7 linked regions of the Mus musculus genome follow. The main gene of each other region encodes a partner of the protein of the gene in region 5 in a complex. Links are inferred from orthologs where the notes say so. Each region holds a gene or a part of one and is shown on either strand. Other genes may lie near its edges. The genes, in order: Iqcd, Drc7, Drc3, Efcab2, Iqcg, Fbxl13 and Drc1.

Region 1 (3,981 bases), on a different chromosome or scaffold from region 5:
CACATGCACACACACACATATACACTTTTTTTTTTTTTTTTGGTTTTTCAAGACAGGTTTCTCTGTGTAGCTCTGGCTGTCCTGGAACTCACTCTGTAGACCAGGCTGGCCTCGAACTCAGAAATCTGCCTGCCTCTGCCTTCCAAGTGCTGGGATTAAAGGCATGCGCCACCACTGCCAGGCATACATACACATATAATCACATGAATACACATATACATGCATATACACATGCACACACACACATGCATGCATAAGTGAACAAGCATGCATGCACACATACACACACATGCACATGCATCCACATGCACACAATACACAATACATGCACATCCTTATACACACATCCACATGCATATGCATACATACATATCGTGCACACACACATACACACATGAATACATATCCACAACACATACACATGCACACACGTACACACAGGAAGTAAATAAAACAGAACTTAAAATGCAGGCTAGAGAAATGGCTCTGTCAGTAAAATGCTTGAATCTGAAGCTCCTTCATACTCATGTAAGAGCCAGGTGTGACACACAGAATAAGAAAATAAACCCTTCATCTTTAAAAAATATTAGTTACCAGAGTATAAGATATCAACATAATTAATAGAGGAAGCACAGACTTCGTATTTGCCTGGTGTTTGGTGCAGTGTGAACCCGCGTTATTCTTTCAATAATTAAGCCTGCACTGAGAGTAGAAGAGGAGATGCATTTCTTTGTCCATTAAAAGGAAAAAGTTTCCTGCATTTGAGAGCATTCAGGTTAAAATATTTTCATTGGCTACAGGATCTAGCCCGTTGCTATAATAAAAGCTGAAGTTCAGAGATACTTTACCCTGATGTTCTGTTTCAAGTGTTCTTGATTTTTAATCACTTTTAATTCCAAGAACTCTCACTAGGACCTCAAAGAAAAAGTGTGTGTGCGTGCGCGTGCATGCATGCGTGCATGCATGATGTTCATGAGTGCAGGTGTCTTTTGGGCCAGTAGAGGGCGCTGGATCACCTGAAGTCGAGTTACAGGCAGTTGTGACTCATGAATGCTAGGAACTGAGGGCCCTCTACAAAAACAGTGTAATGTCTAAATGTCTAAGCTATCATTCCAGCCCTCCCATTTCAGACAGGATTTCATGCAACTCAGACTGCCGTCACTAACCATACTGTTATGGTTTATATATGCCCGGCCCAGGGAGTGGCACTTTTAGAACGCCCTGTTGGAGTAGGTGTGGCCTTGCTGGAGTGGGTGTGGCCCTGTTGGAGTGGGTGTGGCCTTGTTGTAGGTGCGTCACTGTGGGTGTGGGCTTTAAGACCTTCATCCTAAACTGGGCGTGGTGGCGCACACCTTTGATCCTAGCACTCTGGAGGCAGAGGCTGGCGGATTTCTGAGTTCGAGGCCAGCCTGGCCTATAAAGCGAGTTCCAGGACAGCCAGGGTTATACAGAGAAACCCTGTCTCGAAAAACAAGAACAAACAAACAAAAGACCTTCATCCTAGCTGCCTGGAAGTCAGTCTTCCGCTAGCAGCCTTCAGATGAAGATGTAGAATTCTCAGTTCGTCCTGCACCATGCCTGCCTGGATGCTGCCATGCTCCCACCTTGATGATAATGGACTGAACCTCTGAACCTGTGAGCCAGCCCCAAATAAATGTTGTCCTTACAAGAGTTGCCTTGGTCAAGGTGTAAAGCGAGCAGTCAAAACCTAACTAAGACACACACTAAGCACTCAATAAGCCCATGTTAAATATGTGAATTATTCGTTGTATGAGCCAAGAGAATGTCCTAGGAAATGCTTAGACAGAGGGAGTTAGGGTAGAATAAGTCGTGGCGGGGATCACTGCAATTAGCCTGGCAGTCACAGCACACACACGTTGTGAACATACCTTGTGCACTCACATACACGTAGGCACCCACAGATACATATAAAGTAAAAATAAATAAAGCTTTACGTTATTTTAAAAGAGCGTGTACGGCTTTTTGAAAGGACTAGAGTTTAGTCCCCTGCACCTATGACAGGTGGCTCACAACTGCCCACCCGTAATTAATTTTAGCTCCAGAGGATCCAAAACCCTTTGTCTGTATTCACATTCACATACCCCACCAACGCAGACATAGTGATAATAATATTAATAATGATAATAAAACTTTAACAATTAAAGGGGAAAAAACCTAATTAGACCAAGGGTGGTGGCACATGCTTTTAATCCCAGTACTCAAAGGCAAAGACTGGTGGATCTCTGTGAGTCTGAGGCTAGCCTGGTCTACAGAGTGAGTTCGAGACTACATAGTGAGACCTTGTTCCAAAATCAAAACAAACAACAAATCCTTATTTTAAGCATACACTGAAGGGGGTCACGCACCCAGCAAGCTGACCTCTGAACATAGTGCGGACAGTGGGCACCAAAACAAACCAACCCATCCAATTACTTGAACTAAGTTCACTCGATGTGAACTTCACAAATGGTATCAGTAAGAGATGAGGAGAGGGACTATGAAATGGCAGGTGGACCAGACAGGAAGCAAGACTATCAGAAGAGGATACTTGATGGTGCTTGCAGGAGGCCTAGAGGAGGACAGGATGGAGGTTGGGCAAGGGAGTGAGGACCTGGAGCTGGACGGGATGGCAAGTGGGGCGCGGACGCCTGGAGGGGAGAAATCACTGGACGGCGTGCCTACTAGGTGCACACAGCCTGCAGCCTGGGGCTTCCCCGCTGTCACTCACCAGCTCCTCAAGATGCAAGTTTCTTGGCCCACAGTTAAGCAACTCGGCGGCCCTTATGTTGCTAGGTTACGAGCCACTCTTAGAAGGCGGGACTTTGAGTTTGACTGACATTCTTTTTCACCATTTAACTTCGAATCGGGTTGCGTTGGCTCCGCCTCCTGAAAGATGGCCAATCAAAATCCCCGCCTCTCTGACGTTTCGCCAATGGAAAGACGCAGGATTCCTGTTGGTTGCGCGAGTGAGGCGGGGGTGGGGGTGGGGTGGGGAGGAAAGGGGTGTTGCTTCCTCGCCCCGCCCTCCCTTTGGGAGGAGGGCTGTGAGAACGCTGAGTGACGTGTAGTCTACCCTGTCAAATTTCATTGCGACCCCTCTGATGGCCAGTAGGCTGTGGCCTAGGGCCGTGGGCGGGGCTTTCGGGGCTGAGTGACAGGAGTCGGCGGATGCGAAGGCTGGCGCAGCTGCCGCTGTGGCAGCGGTGAGGCGGCGGTGGCGGCTGCTGAGGCTCCGCGCTGGGGATATTGGCGGCGGCAACTGCGGGCTGAGCTACGCTGTGCAGACCCAGTGCACAGTGCGGGATCCCGGGACGGCGCGTGTAAGGATCCGAGGGGTGCGCGATCTTGGCCCGAGGGCAAGGGTCAGGGGTCAGAAGGTGCAGAGAAGGGGCTGGGGCTGAGTGCTCCAGAAGCCCGAGGCGGGGCCCTGGGAGGTGGCCGGCATGCTCTCTCCTTGCGGATCCCCTTCTCTCTGCACCCCTTTTCTTTGGCCTGACTTCCTGGGGCGACCCGGATCGCGATGGGGATCGTGGGGAGCTAGAGCCCCCGAGCGACCCTTCCTCCCTGCTCACCTCCCTGCTGTGTCCTCTTGTGACCTGGCCGGGGACTCCTGCCTGGGTCAGTCTGCCTCAGGGGACAGATCGCAGGATGGCAGCTAGCTATCTGATTCCGGGACCTTCTTCCAGGGGTGACCTTACCCCAGGGGTGACTCGCTGGGTCTCCGCTAGAGAGAGAACCAAGGTCTGCCAAAGGGCTGGACCTTAGGAGCTCCGAGTCTGCTGTGTGACCTTGGACAGTTTACTTACCCTCTCTGGGCCCCGTTTCTTTCTCTTTGAAAAGTCATAGGCTCTTCAGGAGGCAAAGGCAGGAGAATGGCAACTTCAAAGCTTCAAAGCTCCATAGGGATATCCCTACCACCAAAGACAAAAAACAAGAAAGCGGTTGGTGGATTTCGCCTAAGTGGAGTGCAGTTTCTAGGAA
Region 2 (3,500 bases), on a different chromosome or scaffold from region 5:
CACGTTCTTTCTTTCCCCTCTTCCCGACCTCATGGACTCCTAGCCATAGAGCCATACAGTGGCCACTCTGCTCCTACGTTGCCTCTTTGGTGGTGCTAGTTGGCTTTATGGCCCAGCATTCTTAGACCCTTTACATGTGGCCCATATCATGTACCCTCTGGAGGAGATTCCGGCCTGATCCCAGGCACAGAACAGCATGTGGCCCTGGCTTTGACTTTCCTAGAGAGCCGATGGTCATGGTGTCTTCCCTTTCTGGGCTTCCTCAGCTGACCACACACCACCTTATCTTACAGAGTCAGAGGTAATGCCCATGCTTGCCACCCAAGGCCCTCCGTGATGCCTAGGGTCGGTTCTTCCCATCAGTGTCATCGTATGTAAACGCCCCTCCCCAACCACGGCCCTTGGTCTGCCCAGCCAGGGGATCCACACACCACACAGAGCTTGGGGATGGCCTGGCTTGAAGTAGTCCACGTGCAGGCCTGTGGTCTTGTTGATGTGCTTCAGCTCTAGCATATCCTCCCGGTTCTGGTACCACTCCTTTATCTCTAGAACCTTTGTGCCTGTGGGGACACAGAGATGGTTGCTGCAGGCAGACCAGCTCCTCTGGCCTCTGCCATACACACACACACACACACACACACACACACACACACACACTAGAACTGATTTACCCGGAGTCACCAAGCACGGCATCTCCTTGTTTTCCCCATTCCGTGCCCCCAAGGTGCCTTACACTGTTGGTCCTCGTAGGTGGTGAGGCGACACACCAGGCCGTTGTTGTTGAGGTATGGGGACCACTTCTCCAGCTGTGCCTTCTTGTACTGTATCACTTTCTTCCCACTGGGACAACGGGTCTCAAACTCTGTGGATGTAGAGGGAGCTGGGGTCTTTCCTTCCACCCCTTCCTGGATGCTTGTCCATTGTCTGTGTTGCCTATAAAGTGCCTCCAGGCCCAGAACCAGCTCCAAGGAGGAAGAAAATACCTGCCAGTGCTGGCTTCAACTCTTCCCAAGGTATTCTTGGGCGAGCCAGCATCCCAGGGCTACCTGAGAATCATATCTGTGATCCAGCCACTCCTTTCCCCTGCCAGGCCTTCACCACTGAGAATAATGTGCTAGAAAGACATCTGATCCTTCAAAACCCAGCCCCAATGACTACTACCTCTTAAGACCCATTTTGCCTCCATGCCTTATCTAGGATGTAATGGGTGCTCCTACCCCAGGGTTCATGACCACTTCTGTAGCACTTTGCCACCTGCTGGAACAGCCTATGCCCTTCTTCTGATCTAGGCATTTCCAGGTGGGCATATGTAGACATTGGGCAAAGGATAACCCAGCCTCTTGCCTTCTTTGCCTATTTTTTTCCTGTGGCCTGGCCCCATGGCACCATATACTCCATGTTCTGCCCATGGCCTCCTCTGAACAGGGGATCCGGGGAAAGGGAAGAAAGAGACCATGTCCCCGGACCTCGGTGCTCATAATGGTAACAGTCCAGTTGTGTGGCAGGTAGGGTCAGGCTCTGAGTACAGAGCTGGCAGGGTGTTGAGAGGGGCTGGGAAGAAGGGCCCAGGAAGCCTCTACGGCTCCTCTGCTGAGCTGTGGGCTGAGAACCAGTGAGTGACAGAGACCTTCTGGGGTGATCTCAATCTGGGAGACCCACGAAGACGGCATGTCAAAGCTCTTATCCTCCTCTTCTTTGCCCTGTGAGGAAAAGAGGTGGTTGCTGGCCAGGGCCTTGGAGCAGAGGCCATGGCACAGTTCTGTTCCCCTACCCCAGACCCAGACTTGCTAAGGGGGCTGTCAGTTTCCCCGGAAGAGCAAGAAGTCAGAAGATGACCCAGGTTAGGGGAGGAGAGGAGTAGGTTTGGGTGGACCCCTACTCCCTCTTTGCGTGGTCTAAGATGGTAGCACTGGTTCTCATGCCAAACCACCTGCAGCCATAATGGCTACTCAGAGAGGGGATCCTGAGTCAGAGGGAGTACAGTCTTTGACTGTACCTAGCACCAGGTAAGGAGGGCTGGGTAAGTTTTCCATCCACTCTTAAGCCTAGGTTTCCTTAGCTGTTTACTGGGCCTCTTGGGAGGACTAATAGATATTGTGAATAAGTCTTGGGCCCTGCATGGCTGTTCTTCCCTGGTCTGTGAAATAAGGCCTGGTCTAGACAAGTGATCCTCAGACCCAGCTCAAGATTTCCTGTGTATATACTTTTGCCAGAAACAATGCTCAGGCCTTGGGTGCTTGCTCATCTAATTGTGACTTCTTTTGAGATCACACAAGGTGATCGATGGGTTGGCGGCAAGCAATAGTAACTTTTTTGAGACAGCCCAGGAATCCCAGGTCTGGCCCTGCAGCTGAGGGCTGATTCTCAGGATCTATCATCTGTCCATGATGGAGGGACCAGGATTCCCATTCCAGGGATGTGACAGGGCTTCCAGAAGGAGCAGGCTCCTGAGTTGAAGGGTACATAGCCCACAGCCAGCAGGGACACCAGTGCTCAGAATCAAGGAGAAGGAGAACAGGGCCACTTCAGTCATTCTTGTTGTGTTGTTGTTGTTGTTGTTTGTTGTTTGTCGTTTGTTTTTCTTCTTGAGACAGGGTTTCTCTGTATAGTCCTGGCTGCCCTGGAACTCACTTTGTAGACCAGGCTGGCCTCGAACTCAGAAATCCACCTGCCACTGCCTCCCGAGTGCTGGGATTAAAGGCGTGAGCCACCACCGCCCAGCTGGCCTCAGTCATTCTTAGGCAGCCGTCAGAGCTGAATAATCACCCCCCTGAGAAGGCAGCCAGACTGTTGGGGTTTGGTTCCTAGCTCTCACTTATTGGGTGAGACACCTTTGGTGTCTCCTTTTGCTCTGCTGTGTATAAGCTGTCCTCAGCTACCCAGGAAGCGGGGATTTAAATGAGTGAACTCAGATTCTGCGGCAGGAGCAGAACCTGTCCCCGCAGTGTTGCCTGTTGATGTGGGCTTCCTCAACCTACCTCTAAAATCATATGCTAAAGTATACACACACACACACACACACACACACACACACACACACACCGCCCCAGTAACTATGAATCCTGTTGCATTTGGAAGTACGGACTTTATGGGTAAGGCAATGGAGTCTAAATTGGGTCTTCAGGTGGTTCTATTGCAATATGCTAAGTGTCCTTATGAGATAAAGGACACAGATTCAGAGAGAGAGAGTCAGATAAAGCTACAGTGCTCATGGCTACCAGCAAACCCAGAGGAATTTGGAAGAAACCAGCCCTGCCAGCAGCACCTTTGATCCTGAATTTCCAGCCTCTGGGAGTGTGGAACTTCCACTTTGTAGTACTCCCTTATGGCAATGCTAGGCGACTGATACACCTGTTATTGTTGCTATGGATACCAAACACAGTGACCCTCACCCTAGTTTTACACATAAAGGAGACATGGAAGATTCCTAAAGCAGGGGGAATTTGCCTCCTAGTCTCTCCTTTCTCCATGTAGGAAGTACCCCACCACCACCCCCACAC
Region 3 (3,500 bases), on a different chromosome or scaffold from region 5:
GTGTGCTCATGACTGTCACCTACCATACCCTGTGTGCACATGACTGTCACCTACCCATACCTTGTGTGCATATGACTGTCACCTACCATACCCTGTGTGCACATGACTGTTATCTACCATACCTTGTGTGCATATGACTGTCACCTCATGCTGCCAGATACCCCCACCCTCCCCTGATCAGACATGAAATGGTGTTTTCTGTACATAAGAAGTTTCCTGCTGTCATAGAAACATAATTGTTTAATTTCAGAAAATACTTTAAATATTTTCCTGCCATTGTCCTTTGGCATATAAGTACCATTAGTATAGTTTTTGGTTGTATTATGTTAGGATGTTTGGTTTTTAAAAATGCTATTTGAGGCCAGGCAGTGGTGGCACATGCCTTTAATCCCAGCACTTGGGAGGCAGAGGCAGGCGGATTTCTGAGTTCCAGGCCAGCCTGGTCTACAGAATGAGTTCCAGGACAGCCAGGCCTCCATGGAAAAACTCTGTCTCAAAAAAACCAAAAAAGAAAAAAAAAAGGCTATTTGAGTTGCTGAAGAGTTTCATTAAATGAATTTTGACTTGGGATTAGGACAGAATCCACCCAAATTAAGATTTTATTATTATTATTATTATTATTATTATTATTATTATTATTATTATATATGCTGTATATGTGTGTGTGTAGAAGCATGAACCAAGGGGCAATGTAAGTGATTTCTCTCCTTCCAGCCTTATGTAGGTTCTGGGGCTTAACCTCAAGTCTCCAGGCTTATATAGCACTGGATACACTCAACTATTTTGCTGAGCCCTCAACAATTTCTGAAATGGCTCTAACATAATTCTACCATTTTATAGTATGTATTTATTCCACACATTTATTCTCATTGAGAATTAAAAAAATCAAAATATTAATCAGCTCTTAAAACCATTGAAGTTTCTCTGCATCTTGTGGTTTATATATCTAGCCAAGATTTAATGTTTGTTTAAGACAGGATCTCTCTACATAGCTCTGGCTGGCCTCATGTTAGAGACAGATCAGGCTGGTCTCAAACCCACAGAAATCTGCCTGCTTCTGCCTCCTAAGTGCTGGAATTAAAGGCACCTGATCTTCGTCTTTTTTTTTTTACATTTAATTTATTTTGTGTACGAATGCTTTGCCTATATGTACACACACACACACACACACACACACACACACACACACGACAACATATAAATGATCAGAGGGCAACTTGTGGAAGTCAGTTCTCTCTGTCCACCATGTGGGGCCTGGGAATTGGTTTCAGGTGCCTTTACTAGCTCAGACATCTTCCTGGACCACGCCTGGCTTTTTAAAAGATTTTGTTTTGTTTTGTTTTGTTTTGGTTTTTGGTTTTTTTTTTTGTTTTGTTTTTGTTTTTTCGAGACAGGGTTTCTCTGTATAGCCCTGGCTGTCCTGGAACTCACTCTGTAGACCAGGCTGGCCTCGAACTCAGAAATCTGCCTGCCTCTGCCTCCCGAGTGCTGGGATTAAAGGCGTGCGCCACCGCACCCGGCTTTTAAAAGATTTTATTTACTTTATGTTATGTGTGTGAGTGTCTGGGCTGAATGATGTCCGTGTATCATCACTGTATCACGTGCATGCTGCACACTGAGGCCAGAAGAGGGACTTGGATTCCTCTAGGGTAGAGTTACAGGAGATTGTGGAGCACCCATGGGTGCTACAAATTGAATCAGGTCTTGTGGAAGAACAGCCAGTGCTCATGACCTCTGAACCATCTCCCCAGCCCCTCACACGTGGCTTTTAAATCTCCTTTCTGGAGATCAAACTTGTGGCAAGCGCTTGGCCTGCGTGAGCTCTAAGCCTGCATTTAACAAAAGGTAAGATTTTATGCATACCAAAGAATTGTTTTAAAATAAAATTCTTTATGATTCATTACTTATAACTGTTTCATCAGCACTTACCCATAGACATGGATATTTTCTCAGGTAAAAAGGGTTTACAAGAGGGGAACATTGTCAGAACCTGCTCTGAGACAGGACTGGGGTTAAAGGCAGTGCTTGTTTGCTTGGTTGGTCTTTAATTTTTTGAGATGAAGTTAGAGTAACTGAGGATGTCCTGAATCTAGCTCAGGCTGCCTCAAACTATTGATCCTCTTGCCTCAGTTTCTTAAATTCTGAGGTTACAGTAGTGTGTCACCATAACCATTGGATTTAAGAATCTCAGAACTAGGGCTGGAGAGATGACTCAGCGGTTAAGAGCACTGACTGCTCTTCCAGAGGTCCTGAGTTCAATTCCAGCAACCACATGGTGGCTCACAACCATCTGTAATGGGATCTGATGCCCTCTTCTGGTGTGTCTGAAGACAGCTACAGTATACTCATATATATAAAATAAATGAATAATTCTCAGAATTAAAAATCTCAGAGCCAGGCACTACATATCTGTAATCCCAGCATTTAGGAAACTGAGGCAGAAGAATCAGGAGTTCAAGGTTATTCTTGGCTGTATAGTTCAAGACCACCCACGCACACATACTGGGAGAACAAGAGAAATACTCAAGTTCATACTTTCACAGGAAAGCCCACTGTAGTCGGAGATGGGGAAGCAGCTCTCTAATTTCTCTTATTTCTGTGAACAGCACTGAGACTGGACTTTGGAAACCAGCTTGTCCCTCAAGGCAGGGCTCTCTATACAAGCTGTAGGTATATCGGCTGTCTGTATTTGGGTAGACACTAGGATAGCATTTCACTGTCCAGATATTCCTTATGGCAAGGAAGAGGTGACAGAGTCAGGAAGAAATGGGTGCGCGCGTGCACACAAACACACACATGCATACACACTATAGCTGGCCCAGCATGGGGATGAAAGACCAACTCCAAGATTAACTGTAACTGACCAGGAGAGTCTTGGTGAGTCGCTTCCCTTGGTTGCCAGCTTATGTGCTTCCAGAAAGATGGGGATGAGAGTGGGGCCCTCCCAGCTTGGAGTGACAACCCTCAGGGAATTGCTATGGAATTGCTCCCAGGCTCATACGAGCCCTGCCACCAGCTCATGATCAAGACAATTTACTGTCCATCTTCCCTCAATCACCTAGAGTCTTCACCTGGTGGGCTGTTGTGTAGAAGCAGCCGAGGCCTGGAAACATACAGGAGATAAGCCTTGGGAGACTATTGCTGGAGTGGCTGTGCACAGGAGGGGAAATGGCTCAGCCAGGAAAACATGCTCTCTTAGCCATGGACAGGGAGAGCGTCTCACTGTCTCATGACTCCCACTGAGAACAGAGCCAGGATGCTTACCATCTGCTCATCAACGCGCCGGAAGTCCAAGTACACGAGGTCAGAAAGATAGGCATAGATGAACATCTTGTACTCCTCTGCCTCAGAAACGGGATTCCCAGCGAGACTGAGTGTTCGCAGGCACGGGAACCGGCGCAGGTAGATGATCTGGGGAGCGGGAAGCAGAGGTGCTTTCCTTGCTGCCACAGAACTGGAACCACATACAACAGCTTCTCCCCTCTACACCCTTCCTGAGT
Region 4 (4,182 bases), on a different chromosome or scaffold from region 5:
CCATCTTCCTGGCCAGTATTTAATAAAGCTTACTTCAGTTGGACAACCATGGATTCCATCTTCCTCATCACAATTTTCAGGTTTAACATTCACCAGACTACTTTCCATGAAGCAAGCATTAAATATATAAGAAATTGAATATATGAAATCCAGCTTTCAACAGCCATTACTTCCACAGTTAGTTGCAGACTGAACTGTTTTTTCTCCTAAACTTACACTAAACATTAAAATATGTTTTGGAAACTAAAGAAACAGAAATTCTGTCTGTCTCTGTCTCTCTCAAGCAGGGATAACAACTGTAAAAATCAGGCTGGGTGTGGTGGCACACAGTTTTAGTCACAGCACTCACTCAGATGCAGACAGGTGCATCTCTGGGAGTTCCAGACCAATCAAAGCTACAAGGTGAGATCCTAAGTGTTGTGTGTGTGTGTGTGTGTGTGTGTGTGTATAATTTTACATTGTAAAAACTTGCAGTATACTCCAATGCTACCCTAAATAAGTCTTTAACTTAAAAAGAAAAGGAGGGGTCTGGAGAGATGGATATTTGTTCCCACTGTGTTAATAACACCTATTGTGTCTCTAGTTGTGGTGTGTTTCAGCTTTAGCATATGCATTTATCCAAGAGTTCTCTGCTTGAATATTATAAACAAAATTAAATAAAGTCAACCATAAGTTAAGAGGTGGAACAAGCAACCAATTGACAGAGAGTAAACATAGGATTATTTAAAAAAAAAAAAAAAAAAAAAAAAACAATGTCTGGGACACTGGCTGAGGAGCAGGGTCAGCTGGGTGCTTTCTCTGCTTCTCTGAGCTAGCAAACTTTCACCACAGATTCTGGCTCCCGGGTTTTCATTGGTAAAACCAAATGATTTAGATTTTGTTTAAAAAACAAAACAAAACAAAAAAAAAACCCAAAAAACAAAAAAACAGATGGCTCAGAGGTTAGAAGCACTACCTGCTCTTCCAGAGAATCCTGGATCAATTCCCAGAACACACATGGCAGCTCACAACCATCTGCAACTCCAGTTCTGGGGGATCCGACACCCTCACAAGGACATACACAAAGGCAATACACCAATACACATAAGGTAAATTAATTTAAAAAATAATTCATCCCCTAATGATTTTCTCCTTTACTTTTTTTGAGGGGGGTAATAAAAGTATAACTAAAAAAAAAAAAATACTTTCTGGGGAAGCTTTTTTTTTTTTTTTACCTAAAACTTTTTTTTTTTTTTTTTTTTGAGACAGGGTTTCTCTGTGTAGCCCTTGTTGTCCTGGAACTTACTTTGTAGGACCAGGCTGGCCTCGAACTCAGAAATCTGCCTGCCTCTGCCTCCCAAGTGCTGGGATTAAAGGTGTGCACCACCACCCCCGACTCACCTAAAACATTTTTTATACAACATATTTTGATCATATTCTTTCCCTTCCCCCAACACCTCACCGACACTCCCTGCCCTCTAACTTCATATTCTTTGTAAAAACAACAACAAAAAAGTAGAATAAAACCTTCCATTTCTAAAATAGCACCACAAAAATCTTGATACCTTAGTAGAGTTAAAACTCTATACTACAATGCCGACTTCTGAGATTAATTTTACCATCTATAAATCACAGGTCATCAATAAGATCTCTAGCTGCCAGGAGTGGTGGCGCACGCCTTTAATCCCAGCACTCCGGAGGCAGAAGCAGGCGGATTTCTGAGTTCGAGGCCAGCCAGGTCTACAAAGTGAGTTCCAGGACAGCCAAAACCAAAAAAAAAAAAAAAAAAAAAATCTAGGGTCTCAAGTTTCCCTGCTGGGTTCCTGTAATCACCATGACAATGGACTAAACAACTCGTGTAAATATTAGTTGTTAACCTAACTACTGTGTTCCAAACCAGAGGGTGGGGGTGGGGGTGGGGGAATACAAGAGGGAGGGGAGAGAGTCAGCAAAGATGGAGTGTTACTTTCACTTTTTTTGCAATGTTTGCCATTTACTATTTTAGGGCTTGCTTGACTATTTATTTAGCGGTGATGTTGTCAATTTATCACGTAATGGCTGTTGAGTCACAGATCCGATTTTAAGTCATTCGGCTGGGTTAGCAACAATTCAAAAGGTCTTGCAGTTCAACATGAAACATTAGTTTTTCGGGTCCCCTGAGGCCTCTCGGGTACCCGGCCGGTCTGGGCGGCCCGACAAGTCCCGGCTGGGTTTTCTTTAAAGTGATTAAAGTGCGTGTTCCTTATGCAAGGCTCTAGCGCGACCCGGGCCGCTAGGGCCCAGTCTGACCTGGAGGCTGCGCTCCGCCTGGCGGAGGAGGAGGCAAAATGGAGGCGGCTGGGGCCGGGTTGGGCCGGGCTGGGCGGGGTTTCGGCACAGCCGCAGAGGATCCCGCCAGGTTCTAGTCGCAGCTCCAGTCCTCCATGAGGCCGCCCTCCGGGTTACCCACAGCCCACCCAGACCGCGGCTGGCGCCCTCACGGGGAGGGGAGGTGCCAGGGACAAGGACGCCATTATGAACCTCCCCGGCGGGGGCTACAACAGCCCGCGCAGACCTCTCGAGGGGACGGGAGGGCGGACGGTGGGGACGCGGGCTGGCGCCGCTTTTCAGCCCACTGTCGCCACGCCGAGGGGCTCAAGATGTTGGCCGGGGGGCGCTTCCTCAGGCGCAGAGGCGACGTCGTGGCACCCCAGGCAGGGTCCTACCTGTCCCTTCCGCGTCCCTTTCCTCCGCCATCTTGGTGCGGAGCCGGTCGCCCGGGAGACATCCAGCACGAACCCTGCGGGACCCCGCGGGCGGAGAAAGCCCCTGGATGCACGGTGGCCCCCCGATCCCCGCCCCCACCAGAACCGAGGCCCGCGTTCTTTGGGCCTAGGGGCGTCATTTATTAACAAGGCTCCGGAACCCGCCTGGGCCTGATTGTGACTGTCAAGGACGTAGTGTGCCTTGCTTATTTCTTTATTCATTTCTTTAATTACTTATTTTATTCAGCTTTTTTTTTTCCCGGCCGTCTCAGGTGCGCCCCAGAACCGGGCGCAGACCTGGCGGCCCCTTACACGGTCCCTCCCCGAAAAGCGTCCGCCCACCCCAACCCCACCCGAGCCAGGCCTTGTGGCTCTCTGGCGTCACCCTCTCCTGAGCGGAGCCACTCTGCCAGTCACGGAACTGGAGCGAAAACGGACATGGGCCAGTGCAGGAGGAAGCCCAGCCTTTCCCCGGGATCGCAGAGAGAGAGAGAGAGAGAGAGAGAGAGAGAGAGAGAGAGAGAGAGAGAGAGGACTTGCTGTAGAAAAACATGTGCAAAATAGGCGCAAACACTGCGTCGCCAAGGCTGCAATTTCTGATACAAAATAGTGTTCTCATAGCAACAAATAAATTGACGGTCTGTTCTCAGGGATACACACATTTTGTATGTTGATGGTGCAATTTGGCATGACCTTCCGATGAGAATTTTGAGTACTGAGAAACTTGGCTATCGCGTGTTTTGTTATTTGATGGATAAGCTCAGAATACTAAGATTCTCCCTTAAATGAAACCCCCCCAAAACAAACAAACAAACAAACAAACAAAAAAAACCCAACAGTTTTGAAATGTCTAACAATGTGACTCAAATTAATATCTAGTTTTAATCTTTAATGATAATTTCATGGTATATGTGTACTTATTTAAATATTTTTGTAAAAGTAACTAAATGTAGAGGCCTTTGTTTTGTCTTGATTTTTCTTTAATATAGTTATTTATTCACTTTACATCTCAGTATTTTATTTTTTATTATTAGTTTTTATTCATCGAAGTTCTGTAATCTCAGTGAATGAACCCTCAAAGCAGGCCAACTGTACTCTTCATTAAAATATTTTTTTCTATAGGCAATAAAGATTTGATGAAGTGTCTAACTACAATTTGAATAATCAGAAAATGGTGCATATCAAGCAAATTTCCCCAGCACTCAGGAGGCAGAGGCAGGCAGATTTCTGAGTTCGAGGCCAGCCTGGTCTACAGAGTGAGTTCCAGGACAGCCAGGGCTACACAGAGAAACCCTGTCTCAAAAAAACAAAAACAAAAACAAAAACAAAACAATAAAACAAAAAGAAAGAGAAAGAAAGAAAGGAAAAGAAAGAAAAGAAAGACTTCCAAGATGAACTCAAGCATACAGTAAATTAATCACCCCAAAATATGGAAGAGTAATTTATATTAATATTTTAT
Region 5 (4,242 bases):
TGTGTGACATTTTGTCCCACAGACAGGGAAAGCTTAACTGGCCCAGATCCCACACCAGAGTCACTTGCTAAACGCCCTCAAGCGCCCACCCCACAGCAGCGCTGAAATGGGAAGGTGTTTATACTTTAGGGCGTTACATTAGTTGGTTACATTGTTACCGAAAAGTAATCCACCGAATTCAACAAATGGCGTAATTGCAACAGTACAGGGACAAACAAACCGGAACTTGAAACATACTCGTCCATTCTTCCTCAGTTTCTTTCCTTGCCCTCTGGGCTAGATTTATAATTTCACAAGAATGAAGGAACCTAAAGTAGAAAAGAAACATTGATATCAGTTCCAGGGAATGCTAATTTTTTTCCCTTTACTCTCAGGCTCTTTTTGTAGGAGAGAAAACAAAACAAAACAAACAAACAAACAAAAACCCCACAGAATCCCAAGAGCTATCTATAGCTTGTCTCCTCCTGCTTAGGGAAGCAGGCTCATAAGATGCAGGCTTGTTTTTGTTGTTGTTGTTTTCCAGACAGGGTAGATGTAGGCTTACTAAGTGGCTGGCTCCATTACTGGTTCATCAAACCAGAAGTTATACTCAAGGTAGTCTTTTGCCTCTTTTTACGGTAAATTGACATCTAACACAATTTTAATGTGTGTACTTGTACTCTGAGTTTGACTGTGAATCAACAGAGAACTTTTTTTTTTTTTTTTCTTTCAAGACAGGGTTTCTCTGTATAGCCCTGGCTGTCCTGGAACTCACTTTGTAGACCAGGCTGGCCTTGAACTCAGAAACCTGCCTGCCTCTGCCTCCCAAGTGCTGCGATTAAAGGCATGTGCCACCAACGCCCAGCTTCAGATTTATTTTTGATTCTTTAATTTCTTCTATTATTCTCACTTATATATTAAATTAAATATTTCTGCCCTGCTCTATCAGAGAACAGAATTTACTGTAACTTGACTTAGAGAAATCGAGTTTGGGCTGACAAGATGGCTAAGCGGTTAAAAGCAATCAGTGCTCTTCCAGAGGGTCCTGAGTTCAAATTCCAGCAATCATATGGTAGCTCACAACCATTTGTAATGAGATCTGACACCCTCTTCTGGTGTGTCAGAAGAGGCCATCCTTGGCTCAATACAGGGAGTTTGGGGCCAGCCTAAGCTACATGAGACTTTGTCCTTCTTGTTAATGGCTTTAAAAAAAAATGTGTATGTGCCTGCTTGTCTCTATGTGCACTGTGTGCATACAGCAGATTTCCTAGCGCTGAAGTTATAGGTAATTGTGAGTCCCTGATGTAGATGCTGGGAACTGAACTGAAGACCTCTTTAAAAACAGTGTATGCCCTTAAACATTGAGACATTTCTCTAGTCCCTGTCTCAAAACAAAACAACAACAATAACAATAACAAGTTGCATGTAAAATCTAGCTCTAGAGTCTGAGGCCATCTTCCGACCTCTGAAAGCACACACATAAACAGGTTTTTAAAAAGGAAGTCTTGCTGGGCGGTGGTGGCTCACGCATTTAATCCCAGCACTCGGGAGGGAGAGGCAGGCGGATTTCTGAATTTGAGGCCAGCCTGGTCTACAGAGTGAGTTCCAGGACAGCCAGGGTTATACAGAGAAACCCTGTCTTGAAAAACCAAAAAAAAAAAAAAAAAAAAAAAAAAAAAAAAAAAAAAAAAAGGAAAAGAAAGGAAGTCTTGACCTTTTAACATACCACATGTCTAATCTGCTTGTTGTCTTGTTTTTTTTTTTTTTTTTTTTTTGCGAGGAGTGAGGGAGCAAGGATGAGATTTCTTACTCTGTAGCTCAGGATATCTGTGTACACATAATGTACCTCTTACTGACCTAAAACAGAGCAATCTTCATACTTCAACCTTCTAAGTGCAAGGATTACAGACACCAGAGCCAACATGCCATCCTTGCTCCCTCATGTAGGCTGCAAGAGGGCAGACGTTTTAGTCTGTTTACTCTGGTGCCCTACAAGCCTACAGCATTCTTGGTAGTGGTAGTCATTCAATAAATTACTCTCTGATTAAATGAATGGATCCATCAGTTCGCCTTAATTAATGCACAAGTTAGGAACTGTAAATCTGAGTCTATTAAATTTATCTGTGGGCTGGTGAGATGGCTCAGTGGGTAAGAGCACCTGACTGCTCTTCCGAAGGTTCAGAGTTCAAATCCCAGCAACCACATGGAGCCATAACGAGATCTAGCTCCCTCTTCTGGAGTGTCTGAAGACAGATATAGTGTACTTACATATAATAAATAAATGAATTTTAAAAAATTTATCTGCATCCGACAAGTCAGGGAAAGGATGGAAGGATATCTTCTATCTCTCACTTCCTCACATCGTCTCCCTTTTTTTCAGATGGGGTCTCATGTAGCTCAGGCTGACTGGCACTCCCTATGTAGCAGAGGATGGTCTTTTAAGTCCTATTCACCTGCTCGCACAGCTAGAATACTGGGGTTACAAGCAAGCACCGGGACCGCGGTTTGCCTCATGGATGTTTGTTGCTGTTAAGATGGGGCCTTGCTATGTAACTTAGCCTAGCCTCGAATTTGTGATGTGATCCTCCTACCTCAGTCTCCGGAATAAATGCTGAGGTTAACGGGCAACGGCTACCACACCCTGTTTGTTAAATTAAAGATGGGAAAAAATAAAAGAACAAATCAAGAGAAACTCCTGCCTTCATGCTCCAGGTTTTTCTCTCCTATATGGTAGGATCCCAGTCTCCATTCTAGGAAGAGGAGAAAACACTTAACTTTTCCTTACCTCTCTACCAGCCCAGCTGGAGGCGGGAACCAAACTAATCGGTAGCTATGGCAACGCGTCGCGCAAGCTCTTTTTTTTTTTTAAGTAGGACCCCTGATTCTTTCTTAGTCGACTACGATTTTGCCTTTCCTTGTTCCTAAATAATACGTGTTGCCGCTTACAAAGACGAAAGGGCAGGAGGGAAAGAATTTAAAGTTCTTGAGCGCGGCTTGGCTGAGTCGAGCCTCTCTCTCTGTCTCTGACCTTTGCTTTCTGGCGCAGTGTGAGCGGCCTAAGCGCGGAGAGGGGCGGGGCGTGCGTCCCACAAGGCCGCGCGGCGGGGCTTGCCTTCCTCTTTCCGCCATCTTGGCGCCTGTGGAGGTGAGGGGGGTTCCTGCTGCTGAGCTTTGGGGCCCGATTGCTGGGGTGCGTTTAGTTTCATCCCTCACCGAGACAACCTGGCGTCTCGGAGAACCCGACCGCCAGAGGTTTCTGGGGATTCCAGGAGGATGGAGGGCGGGATGGAGGCGATGACGGGCTGATGGTGTGGAGGCCCCGGCCGGGGGAGGAGAGCTCGCTGGTCTCGGTCGATCTCCGGCTCGGGAGGAGAGAATGGGTGCATTTCCCCCGGTCTTACTGGCCCGGGGAGCGGTGGTCCCTGGGAGCTGGGTTCCCCGCACAGAGCCGGATCTCGCCTGTGTTAGCTGCTTTCTGTACTGATGGAGGCATGAGCTCGCCTCCGGGTTCCTTTTGGGGTTTGAGAAGTTAAGTCTCGGGTGAGTCGCCTTCCCACCCGGCCTTTGCCCACGATTCCGAGTCGTTCGTTGTCATTGGTTGTCGGAGCCCTGAGTATTTTGCCAGGCTCTGCCTCTATAGGGGGCAGGGCGTAGGTAAGAGGTCCCCATCCTTGGGACGCCGACTGAAGCCATCTCTCGCGCCGGGAAATAGTGACAGGTGGGATGCGTGCTGCATGACTCTCGGTTGAGCTCTCGGTTTTGTTTTTCAGGCCTGCTGGGAACAGGACTTCTAACAGCAAGTATGTCTGGAAGGTACGCGATCTCACAATAGTCGTTTTCTCCATTTCTGTTTCGTTCTATTAAACGCGAAGCTAAAGTTCAGTGTAATGCGGGAGGGGAACGAGAGGTCTGCTGTAGATAGCTGGAGTAGGAATTGCTACAAAGCAAATCATGGTGGCTTGCTAAAAGATACATGAAAAGTTGTAACGGGGTAGTCATCATGTCTTTCTTAACGTTGTCTTAGGCTGTGGTGCAAGGCCATTTTTGCTGGCTACAAGCGAGGTCTCCGGAACCAAAGAGAGCACACGGCTCTTCTTAAAATTGAAGGCGTTTATGCCCGAGATGAAACGGAGTTCTACTTAGGCAAGAGATGTGCTTATGTGTATAAGGCAAAAAAGTAAGTATGCTCCCATGCCTTTTAATTTTTGGTTGACTAATCTCGTTTTTTCTACTGAAAAGGTAGGGGTGTTAGTGAGAAATTGG
Region 6 (4,081 bases), on a different chromosome or scaffold from region 5:
AATCACTCAGTGTGTAGAGGTAATTACTGGAAGAAAAGAAACAACAGACAACAGACCCAAAAATTATCCAGATGTTGAAGGAACCTGTGTTTCTTCTTGTTTTTGTTTTATTCAGGCTTACCAAGTGTCTTGAACTCAACATGTGGCCCAGCCTGGCCTCAAAGCAAGCCTCTTGTCCTAGCTCCCCAAGAACTGGGATTATAGACATGTGTGACCAGCTTTCCAGAGAGTGATTTTTACAAAACAATCATTAACATGTTTGAAAACAGGAGATTATAGCAAAATAGATGAAAAAGTATCTTTATAATTTTAATAAGTGGAATGCATTAAAAGGAATCAATGGGCATTCCAAGACTGAAAAATACATTATCTACAATTAAGATTTCACTTATTGTATTCAACAGATGGGATGAGATGTAACAAAAAGCAGAATTAGTAAAGTTAGCAATCCACTAAATAAGTCAATGAAAAATATCCAAAATATCATCCAGAAGACAAAAAAGAGGTAGCTGGACAAAAGCTAAAACAGAGGACAAGGGTAGAATTTTATTATATTCATGATTGGATTCCTATAATAGAAAAGAATTGGGTAAAAATAACAATAGATTTAAGTAATTGGTTCCAAAACCAATGAAAATTAAATATCAATCAGCAGATTCAATAAGCTTAGTAGATCAGGCAAGTGTTGTGGTTTTGGTTTGGTTTGGTTTGGTGTTGAGGTTTTATTTTGCTTATTTTTTGGTTGTGTTTTTTATTTTTGAGTCTTACCATCCCTATGCCTGGGCTCAAGCAAGCTTCAGCCTCAGTCTCCCTGGCAAGTAAGAGTTTACAAACCATTACAAACCACTGGCATGGGTAGGCTTTGGTTTGGGTTTTTCCTTTATCAGAGTGTACACAGGTTTGTAGGGAAACAGTGTTGTGGATGGACAACTAGGTTTACTTAGAACACACAGGCAATGTTCAGAAGAGGTCAAACATGCATAGATAACTGCAACAAGTACAAAGTACAGAGAGACCTGGCAGAATAGAAGTCACCTTAATGGTCTGAGGGAAAGTGAATGAGTGTGCCCAAAACCTGTCTTGCCCCTGCTGTTAATGTGTGAGCAGAGGTGACTGAAGGGATCATCTGGATAAAATCACGGGGAAAAGCCATCCTAAAAGGAAGTGTTGTGCCCAATTGCCCTGGAGGTTGAATGGCACTCTTCTCTCTCCCTTAGAACTCCCTCATTCGCCCCATTTCAGAACTCCCGCTGTATCACCACATAACATACACCGCGTAACATAACATACAGATAAATGGGAGTCACCAGTGATTTCTCAGCTCCCTGCCCCCAGGAGTACAAAACCTGGTTTTCAATACCATACTGTCCTCCCGAGGCAGGGCAGAATGAGGGGACTGGAGGGGACTGGAGGGGACTGGAGGCGGAGGTAGAGGAGGAAACCCTGCTCCTTCAGAACTGATCTACTTTCACTGCTCAGAAAGGACTTTAAGTCTGCGGGTAAGAACCTAATGGACTTCAACTGTGCTCACTTGAGGCTGGGTGCTGTATCTCCAGACACTTCAACCAAGGATGTCGAGGCCAGTAATTAGGCTCTGCTTACATAAGGTCAAAATGACACATTATCTTGAATTCCTGGCCTCCCCACTCCCAGAACTAAATGAAGCTGTTCATAAATGCACTATATGTTAGTTACTGAGAGAAAAAGAAACTTCGGTTTTTAATCTAACTTTGTTACAGACTATACTCTTTGGGTGATGTTAATAAAAGGGGAATGTTTATCCTTCTGGGACTCTGGGGTGGTACCCAAGGAGGGTTTTCCCTTCTCCTCTGATAGGGGGAAGGGGGTAGTGGGGGAGGGGCTTGTAAGGGACTGGGAGGGGAGGAGAGGGGTGGGCTGCAATCGGGAAGTAAGTGAATAAAGAAATTAAGAAAGAAAAAGAAAAGGGGTAGTAGTTTCTTGGCAACATTTAGAAATGTAACCTTGAAAGTCACAAGAAAAAATACTGATGTCAGCATTGTGAAGACAACACTTAAGGTCGACTCTCCCTTCAGAAGCCCGCAATTGTCTGACCAGGTGTGTTCTACTCTCTCTACTGGAGCACCTTTGTTCCTGCGTTTAATGAAGCCAGCTTTGCTTCATACAAGTTGGCCCCGAAATTCATTTCTTTGTTGAAACCAAGACCTCAGGTTTTGCTTGGTGGCGATCTCTAAAAAGGTGTGTTGTGAAGCTGTGTGTAGAGGCAGGTGACTCTTCTTCCCTCCTGCTAACAACGAGGCGGGGCGAAGCCTACACCCAGAACCCCTCAAGTCTTTTGTCTTCAAGTGGCTCACCACTCACTTCTTGCTCAAGACGCTCTTCCATAATAGAATTTAGTAGTTGACACTTGGAGATTCCAACCCAGGCCCTGTGCTCTTTGCGCCCCCTGCAGATTGTCACTTTCCCCCGTCCCCTTCCTTTGTCATCCCCACCTGGGCTTGGTTTTAGCCACCGGCACCCTTCGGTCTTCTCTAACCTACCCTTCTCTCTCTAGTTACCCTAAATTGACTTCAAGCTTCCCCATCCTGCTCCTTCTTAGCTCCAGTTCCGGGAATCTCCTTGCCTCTCCCAGTTTTTCCCCGCGCCCACTGTGTGAGAGGCTATGTGGCTGCAGTACCTCACAGATTTGAGGAATGTACTTGTCCCTGAAGTAGCTCCTTAGCCTGGGGGTGGCACTGCGTAGTGAAGCCATGGTCAGAAGCAGGACTCAGAATGCGTTTCATAGGTTACTGCTGTTCACGTTGAGGAGGAGAGACGCGCCGGAGCGTTGCCTAGCAACCACAAAGGAGGTGCCAAATAGTCCAAGCCTTTCGCGAGATGAAGAAAGAACCTAGCAGGGAGGGGGCGGGGCAACTGGGGCGGGGCGGGGCGATTGCAGAGGGGCGGGGCAGAGAGGGGCGGGGCGAGTGCAGAGAGGCGGGGCAGAGCGGGGAGGGGCGGGGCAGGACAGTACAGGCCGGGGCCGGGTAAAATGAGAGGGCTGGACGGGAGAGTGAGTGTTGGGGCGGAGCTAGGGTCTGTGTTCAACGCGCCGCAGTCCCGGTCTTGGTCCAGGAAAAAGCTGCTTGCACTAGGGGCATCCCGCCTGCCTGGTGAAAGGAACCGCAGCACACAGGGTGGGAGGGCTTCCGATTTTAGCAGGGCGGCTTCCGGAAGGCGGAGCTCCAACCCCATTTCCTTTCTCTGGGCTGGTTCTGGCCCAGCTGCACCTGCGTGTGGCCCTGGCTCCTCGGCTCCCTGCAGCTCCGAGGCAGCAGCATGGGTGGCGCGCGGGACGTGGGCTGGGTGGCAGCAGGGCTGGTCCTGGGCGCCGGCGCCTGCTACTGTATCTACCGGCTGACTCGGGGACCGCGGCGAGGCGGTCGCCGACTGCGCCCTTCGCGATCCGCAGGTGAGGCGATGGGCTGCCCGGCAGGTGGACTGGTTCGGGGCTCCGGACCCACCTCAGGCCAGGCTGGGTTGGAGGTGCCCTAGACACCCGCGACTGCATGGGGAGAAAGGCTGGAGGTAGACAGACGACTCTGGAAGCCCAGGTTGCCTTGGGTGGGTCCTGAGCCGCTTCCCTGCTCCCACTTCTTTGTTTAAAATAAGAGCTGAAAACATTGCCCGAAGTGTCCTGTTACTTCCCTTCGGCTTCACAGCCAAGAGCTGAGGTTTCTCCGAGCCAAGTAGATTGCCTCTCATTTTAAAGTTTTACCTGAGCTTTTGTGTTGTTATCAAAGAGATGCCCCTTACTGTGAGAAGGTTCTCAGGGGCCTCAAGCCTGGGTTGAAACTTTGCTCGTGCTATGTGAAGAATGGATCCCTGAGATGCAATTCTGCCAGCACTTTGTGGCACCTGTCCTGGGAAGTACCTTTAAGTCATCCGTAGCGTCCCTGCAACCGGGGTGTGTGTGTTGGGAATAAGAACCACAACCAACAGGAGACACACCCTTCTAAAAGGATGGCTTAAGTCGTGAAAACTGTTGGAAAAACTATTTGAAATAAAACCTGCCAACCAATACCTGCTTGCCTCAAAGGTAGAGAAATATATTTGTTTTTAA
Region 7 (4,296 bases), on a different chromosome or scaffold from region 5:
AATAATATTTATCTATTCATTTGTCTTGTGTGTGTGTGTGTGTGTGTGTGTGTGTGTGTGTGTATGTGTGTGTGTGTACTCAAACCATGGCACACATATAGAGGTCACACTGTCTTCTGTTCAAACAGCCAATCAGAAGCATCCATCACATTCAACTTCAAAATTTGTCCTGCGTCCATCTGCTTCTCTCTAGATTATTGACACAGAGTCCAGGCCAATCCCGTGCCTCACCAGAACCAGAGTAGTGTCTCCTTCCTGCTCGGGTCTCCTCAGTCACACCTCCAGCCCCTTTACACCAGTCCCCAAAACAGTGAGCTGAATAATTTGAAGGTGAAAGTGACGCTCTGCCCATCAGGAAAGTGGCCTTAATTTTGTTTAGACATTATCACATGCTATTATCACACCCAACAAATATCTCCCCACCCCAACCCCTACAAGACAGAATTTCTCTTTGTAGCCCTGGACATCCTGGAACTCTCTTTGTAGACTAAGCTGGCCTTGAACTCAGAGATCCTCCTGCCTCTACCTCCCAAGTGCTGGGAATAAAGGTGTGTGCCACCACGCCTGACAATGTCTTAAAGTAACCCAGCAGTGCCTCCTTACAAAGCTAGCTTTTTCTCAAGCTCCAAGCTATCCTTTCTAGCTGCCTGGCTTTAGGGCCTACTCCCAGGAGTCTCCTCTCCCCTTGCTGTCCTTGTCATAGATCATAGTTATAGGGACACTTGTCCTCTCTCTCTCATTAGAATATAAACTTCCTGCACATCACTGAATTCCCAGTCTCTTTGGGTTTTTTTTTTTTTGCTTGTTTGTTTGTTTGCTTTGCTTTTTTGTTTTTGTTTGTTTGTTTTGGTTTTTCGAGACAGGGTTTCTCTGTATAGCCCTGGCTGTCCTGGAACCCACTCTGTACACCAGGCTGGCCTCGAACTCAGAAATCTGCCTGCCTCTGCTTCCAAGTGCTAGGATTAAAGGCGTGCGCCACCACCACCTGGCCTGCTTTTTTGTTTTTGTTTTTGTTTTGTTTTTAAGGTTTATTTATTATTATATGTAAGCACACTATAGCTGTCTTCAGACACACCAAAAGAGCACATCAGATCTCATTACGGATGGTTGTGAGCCACCATGTGGTTGCTGTGATTTGAACTCAGGGCCTTCAGAAGAGCAGTCAGAGTTCTTAACCACTGAGCCATCTCTCCAGCCCCCCAGTCTCCTTGTTAAACACCACAGCAACAACCAAGACCATGATCCTCGGACAGCTTTGGAGATGGATAAATGTGGCATCACTTGGAGACAAGTAGAAGAGCAGATAAGAGTCCAGTTCATCTGTTAGCCAAACAGCAGCAACAGACAAGCTTACTAAGGATGCTTCTGCCTTGCCCAGTTCCTGAACCAACCCCAGTTCTCATCCCAGAACCTCCTAACCAAAGAGGTGGCAGGGATCCCAGGAGGAAGAACAGAGAACACAATGCAAATACATAATGTAGTGAGGCTCCTAGCCTTTCCCCAAGGGGATTGAAGGTCATCAGGGAACTGTCAGGGAAGGGGATACCCAGACAGTGTTAGGACAATTAAAAACAGATCTGAGTTACCATGACAACAAGAGATGCTAACCATGATCACAGCCTTGCCCAACTAGGATGGAGGCACACAGACCTCCATCTTGTACTTCTGCTGGGTCTGTAGACCACCAAAAGTAAAAGTGGAATGAACGACTTAGAAGTTGAACAACTGTCACATGAAGTCTGGTGACTAGTGGATGTCCCTTAAACTTTACCTAAGCTAATAAAGACACCAAAGCCTAGGGAACATGGTGGGAATGCAAGTGTGGTGGCTCCTATCACATCCCCTCTTAATTCACAGGTCTGGCACTTGCAGTACCTGGATGGATTCTAGACAATGATCATCAATGTCCGCAAGCACAAGCAAGCAGCCACCCCGCCTTTGCTACAGTAGATCCGTCGACATGGCCTTGGGCCCAGGGAGTGTGGCCACTAAGTGAAATGAAAGCTTTTACTCTTATTTTATTTTTATTTTGAGGTGTCAAGGCCTTCCTACGTAGACTAGGCTAGCCTTGATCTCAAAGAGATTTGCCTGCCTCTGCCACTCCAGTACTGAGATTAAAGGCATAAGCCACTAACCTGGCTTTATTTTATTTTATTTTTTAATTTTAAAATGGATCAAGATGCTCATATCTGTGTGGAACACACAATCACATATGCTCACTGGCTGTGATAAGGTATTCTCAGTAGAATGGGGATAACCGACTCTTTCACAGATCGCGGTCCATTACATCTCGTCAACAAACTCTAGCCTCTGGAATAAATCTGACCTAGAACTTTTTTATTTTTATTTTCAAATATTGGGACAGGGTCTCATTATGTAGCCCTAGCTGTCCCAAAACTCACTGCTTGAATGTTCTAGAAGAAAAGTTTTTCTGTTTACACCCAGGGCGCGCGCGCGCACACACACACACACACACACACACACACACACACACACACCTTACCATGGAGCTCCCACCCAGCCCGGCCCCAGCTCCCTGCAGGGCACTCTGGGCTCCCCATCGCACCACCCGGCCACCCAGCTCACCGCCTTCGGGCTTCCTGACGAGCAGCGATGCGCAGGCGCCGGGCCTGGATCCGCTCCTGCGGGTTATCCGAATGCACCGAGGGTCCGAGAATCGGGGTGGCTAAGTGTTCTTCCCCATTCTGCTCTAGGACCCCAATGGTTCCTGAGGGATTCATGGCGGCGTCTCCCACCCACTGGCAGCTCCGCCTGGACCAGCAGCCGGGTTGCTAGGAACAAGCCGTTGCCAAGGGAAAGCAGTCACCTGACCCATCTCTGGCTAGCTGTCGCGCGGCGCTCCAGCCCAGCTTCTCTGTCAGGCACTACGAGTTGTATATTTGTATCCCAAATGTGGACTTGATTCCCCTTGCCTGAAGTTGGTTTGGAGGGGCTGACTTGACCCCACGAAGGCAGATGGAACAAACCGCACCGCATCTCTTTCTGACTCAAAAGCCCAATTCATCATCCACCTTACCAAATGAATATTCCTAAAAGGCACTTTGCTCCAAAATAACTGAGTACCTGCAACATGAAAAGCATTGTATTATATAGCTAGAGACAGTGGCGTCCTTTCCTTAAGCTGAGTGGGAGACCACCTCAGCCCATTGCAGTTTTGGAAGTGTGAACTCAAGTACACTCATCATCTGTAGCCATGACCGAAAAAGAGGTGGGTTCAGGAGAATGGTTGGGGGGGGGGGGGCGGGGAAGAACCCAGGACACCACCGCTCTCTCAAAGCAGCAGTCTGCGGGGGCGGGGGGGGGGACATCATGCCTTAGGCACCGTGTGTCCCCTTGTCAACAAAATAATGTCCTGGGGCCAGAGAGAAGGCTCAGCAGTCAATGTTTATGGCCAAGGAGAGTGACCAACTGAGTTCAATCCTTTAGGCCCACACTATGGAAAAAGTACCAGTACTGATAAATTGTCCTTTGACCTTCACATGCCACAGTGGCATATGGGCACACAAAATCATAGGTGTAAAAAGTGGTTTTTTTTTTGTTGTTGTTTTTTAATGTTCTCTTTAAGAATTAAAACTATGCCTGTGGGCTTGTGGTACGGCTCAATGGTAAAGGGTTTACCTACACCAGTTGGTTCGTTGGAGCACCTTGGACAGGACACACAAAACAAAACAAAAACACCACTCCTGTAATCCCAGAACTCAGGATTGTGTTCCAGGTCATCCTGGAACACAATGAGACTCCATTTCTAAACTAAATTAAAATAAGAAATGTAAAGCCCTATACCAAAATAATAATAATAATAATACCCACCCTTATAATAATAATACACACAGACATGCAGACATAGTGGTTCACAATCAGCCCTCTGGGAGGCTGAGATAGGAAGACTGTAAAGTTCTAGGCCAAGCAGGGCTACATTTCAAGACACTATCCCTAATGCAAACCACTCGACAGTTTTATTTTTGTAGCATTGGAGACTGAACTTAGGGACTCAGACATGCTAGACATTCCTTGATGATGAAGGGGTTTTATGGCTTAGGGAAGTTGCAATGCAAGAATGAGTTTGCTGCTGGGGGTGGTGGCACACGCCTTTAATCCCAGCACTCAGGAGGCAGAGGCAGGCGGATTTCTGAGTTCGAGGCCAGCCTGGCCTACAAAGTGAGTTCCAGGACAGCCAAGGCTACAGAGAAACCCTGTCTCGAAAAAAAAAAAAAAAAAAAAAGAATGAGTTTGCTGTGTAAAACCTAATCCTCTATAATAGGAAAGCCCAGAAGA

The links.
Region 1: Iqcg (region 5) and Iqcd share a complex: the UniProt entries of both Homo sapiens proteins name them as parts of the nexin-dynein regulatory complex. The link is inferred for Mus musculus from reciprocal best matches to the Homo sapiens genes DRC9 and DRC10.
Region 2: Iqcg (region 5) and Drc7 share a complex: the UniProt entries of both Homo sapiens proteins name them as parts of the nexin-dynein regulatory complex. The link is inferred for Mus musculus from reciprocal best matches to the Homo sapiens genes DRC9 and DRC7.
Region 3: Iqcg (region 5) and Drc3 share a complex: the UniProt entries of both Homo sapiens proteins name them as parts of the nexin-dynein regulatory complex. The link is inferred for Mus musculus from reciprocal best matches to the Homo sapiens genes DRC9 and DRC3.
Region 4: Iqcg (region 5) and Efcab2 share a complex: the UniProt entries of both Homo sapiens proteins name them as parts of the nexin-dynein regulatory complex. The link is inferred for Mus musculus from reciprocal best matches to the Homo sapiens genes DRC9 and DRC8.
Region 6: Iqcg (region 5) and Fbxl13 share a complex: the UniProt entries of both Homo sapiens proteins name them as parts of the nexin-dynein regulatory complex. The link is inferred for Mus musculus from reciprocal best matches to the Homo sapiens genes DRC9 and FBXL13.
Region 7: Iqcg (region 5) and Drc1 share a complex: the UniProt entries of both Homo sapiens proteins name them as parts of the nexin-dynein regulatory complex. The link is inferred for Mus musculus from reciprocal best matches to the Homo sapiens genes DRC9 and DRC1.

What each region holds. Positions count from the first base shown.
Region 1 is NC_000071.6:120,587,842-120,591,822, reverse strand, and holds the start of Iqcd (dynein regulatory complex protein 10), read right to left. Parts: upstream 2,801-3,981; 5' UTR 2,729-2,800; intron 1-2,728. UniProt on the Homo sapiens protein: Component of the nexin-dynein regulatory complex (N-DRC), a key regulator of ciliary/flagellar motility which maintains the alignment and integrity of the distal axoneme and regulates microtubule sliding in motile axonemes.
Region 2 is NC_000074.6:95,068,603-95,072,102, reverse strand, and holds part of Drc7 (dynein regulatory complex subunit 7), read right to left. Parts: intron 1,701-3,500; coding exon 1,628-1,700; intron 863-1,627; coding exon 734-862; intron 561-733; coding exon 432-560; intron 1-431. UniProt on the Homo sapiens protein: Component of the nexin-dynein regulatory complex (N-DRC) a key regulator of ciliary/flagellar motility which maintains the alignment and integrity of the distal axoneme and regulates microtubule sliding in motile axonemes.
Region 3 is NC_000077.6:60,370,380-60,373,879, reverse strand, and holds part of Drc3 (dynein regulatory complex subunit 3), read right to left. Parts: intron 3,412-3,500; coding exon 3,265-3,411; intron 1-3,264. UniProt on the Homo sapiens protein: Component of the nexin-dynein regulatory complex (N-DRC) a key regulator of ciliary/flagellar motility which maintains the alignment and integrity of the distal axoneme and regulates microtubule sliding in motile axonemes.
Region 4 is NC_000067.6:178,404,636-178,408,817, reverse strand, and holds the start of Efcab2 (dynein regulatory complex protein 8), read right to left. Parts: upstream 2,801-4,182; 5' UTR 2,716-2,800; coding exon 2,685-2,715; intron 1-2,684. UniProt on the Homo sapiens protein: Component of the nexin-dynein regulatory complex (N-DRC), a key regulator of ciliary/flagellar motility which maintains the alignment and integrity of the distal axoneme and regulates microtubule sliding in motile axonemes.
Region 5 is NC_000082.6:33,053,387-33,057,628, forward strand, and holds the start of Iqcg (dynein regulatory complex protein 9), read right to left. Parts: upstream 2,801-4,242; 5' UTR 2,765-2,800; intron 2,657-2,764; exon of another isoform or gene 2,571-2,656; intron 309-2,570; 5' UTR 246-308; coding exon 238-245; exon of another isoform or gene 159-237; intron 1-158. Other genes in the region: Rpl35a (60S ribosomal protein L35a), read left to right, coding at 3,782-3,792, 4,004-4,156. UniProt on the Homo sapiens protein: Component of the nexin-dynein regulatory complex (N-DRC), a key regulator of ciliary/flagellar motility which maintains the alignment and integrity of the distal axoneme and regulates microtubule sliding in motile axonemes.
Region 6 is NC_000071.6:21,642,806-21,646,886, forward strand, and holds the start of Fbxl13 (dynein regulatory complex subunit 6), read right to left. Parts: upstream 2,801-4,081; 5' UTR 2,732-2,800; coding exon 2,657-2,731; intron 1-2,656. Other genes in the region: Armc10 (armadillo repeat-containing protein 10), read left to right, coding at 3,298-3,430. UniProt on the Homo sapiens protein: Substrate-recognition component of the SCF (SKP1-CUL1-F-box protein)-type E3 ubiquitin ligase complex.
Region 7 is NC_000071.6:30,279,897-30,284,192, reverse strand, and holds the start of Drc1 (dynein regulatory complex protein 1), read right to left. Parts: upstream 2,801-4,296; 5' UTR 2,742-2,800; coding exon 2,587-2,741; intron 1-2,586. UniProt on the Homo sapiens protein: Component of the nexin-dynein regulatory complex (N-DRC) a key regulator of ciliary/flagellar motility which maintains the alignment and integrity of the distal axoneme and regulates microtubule sliding in motile axonemes.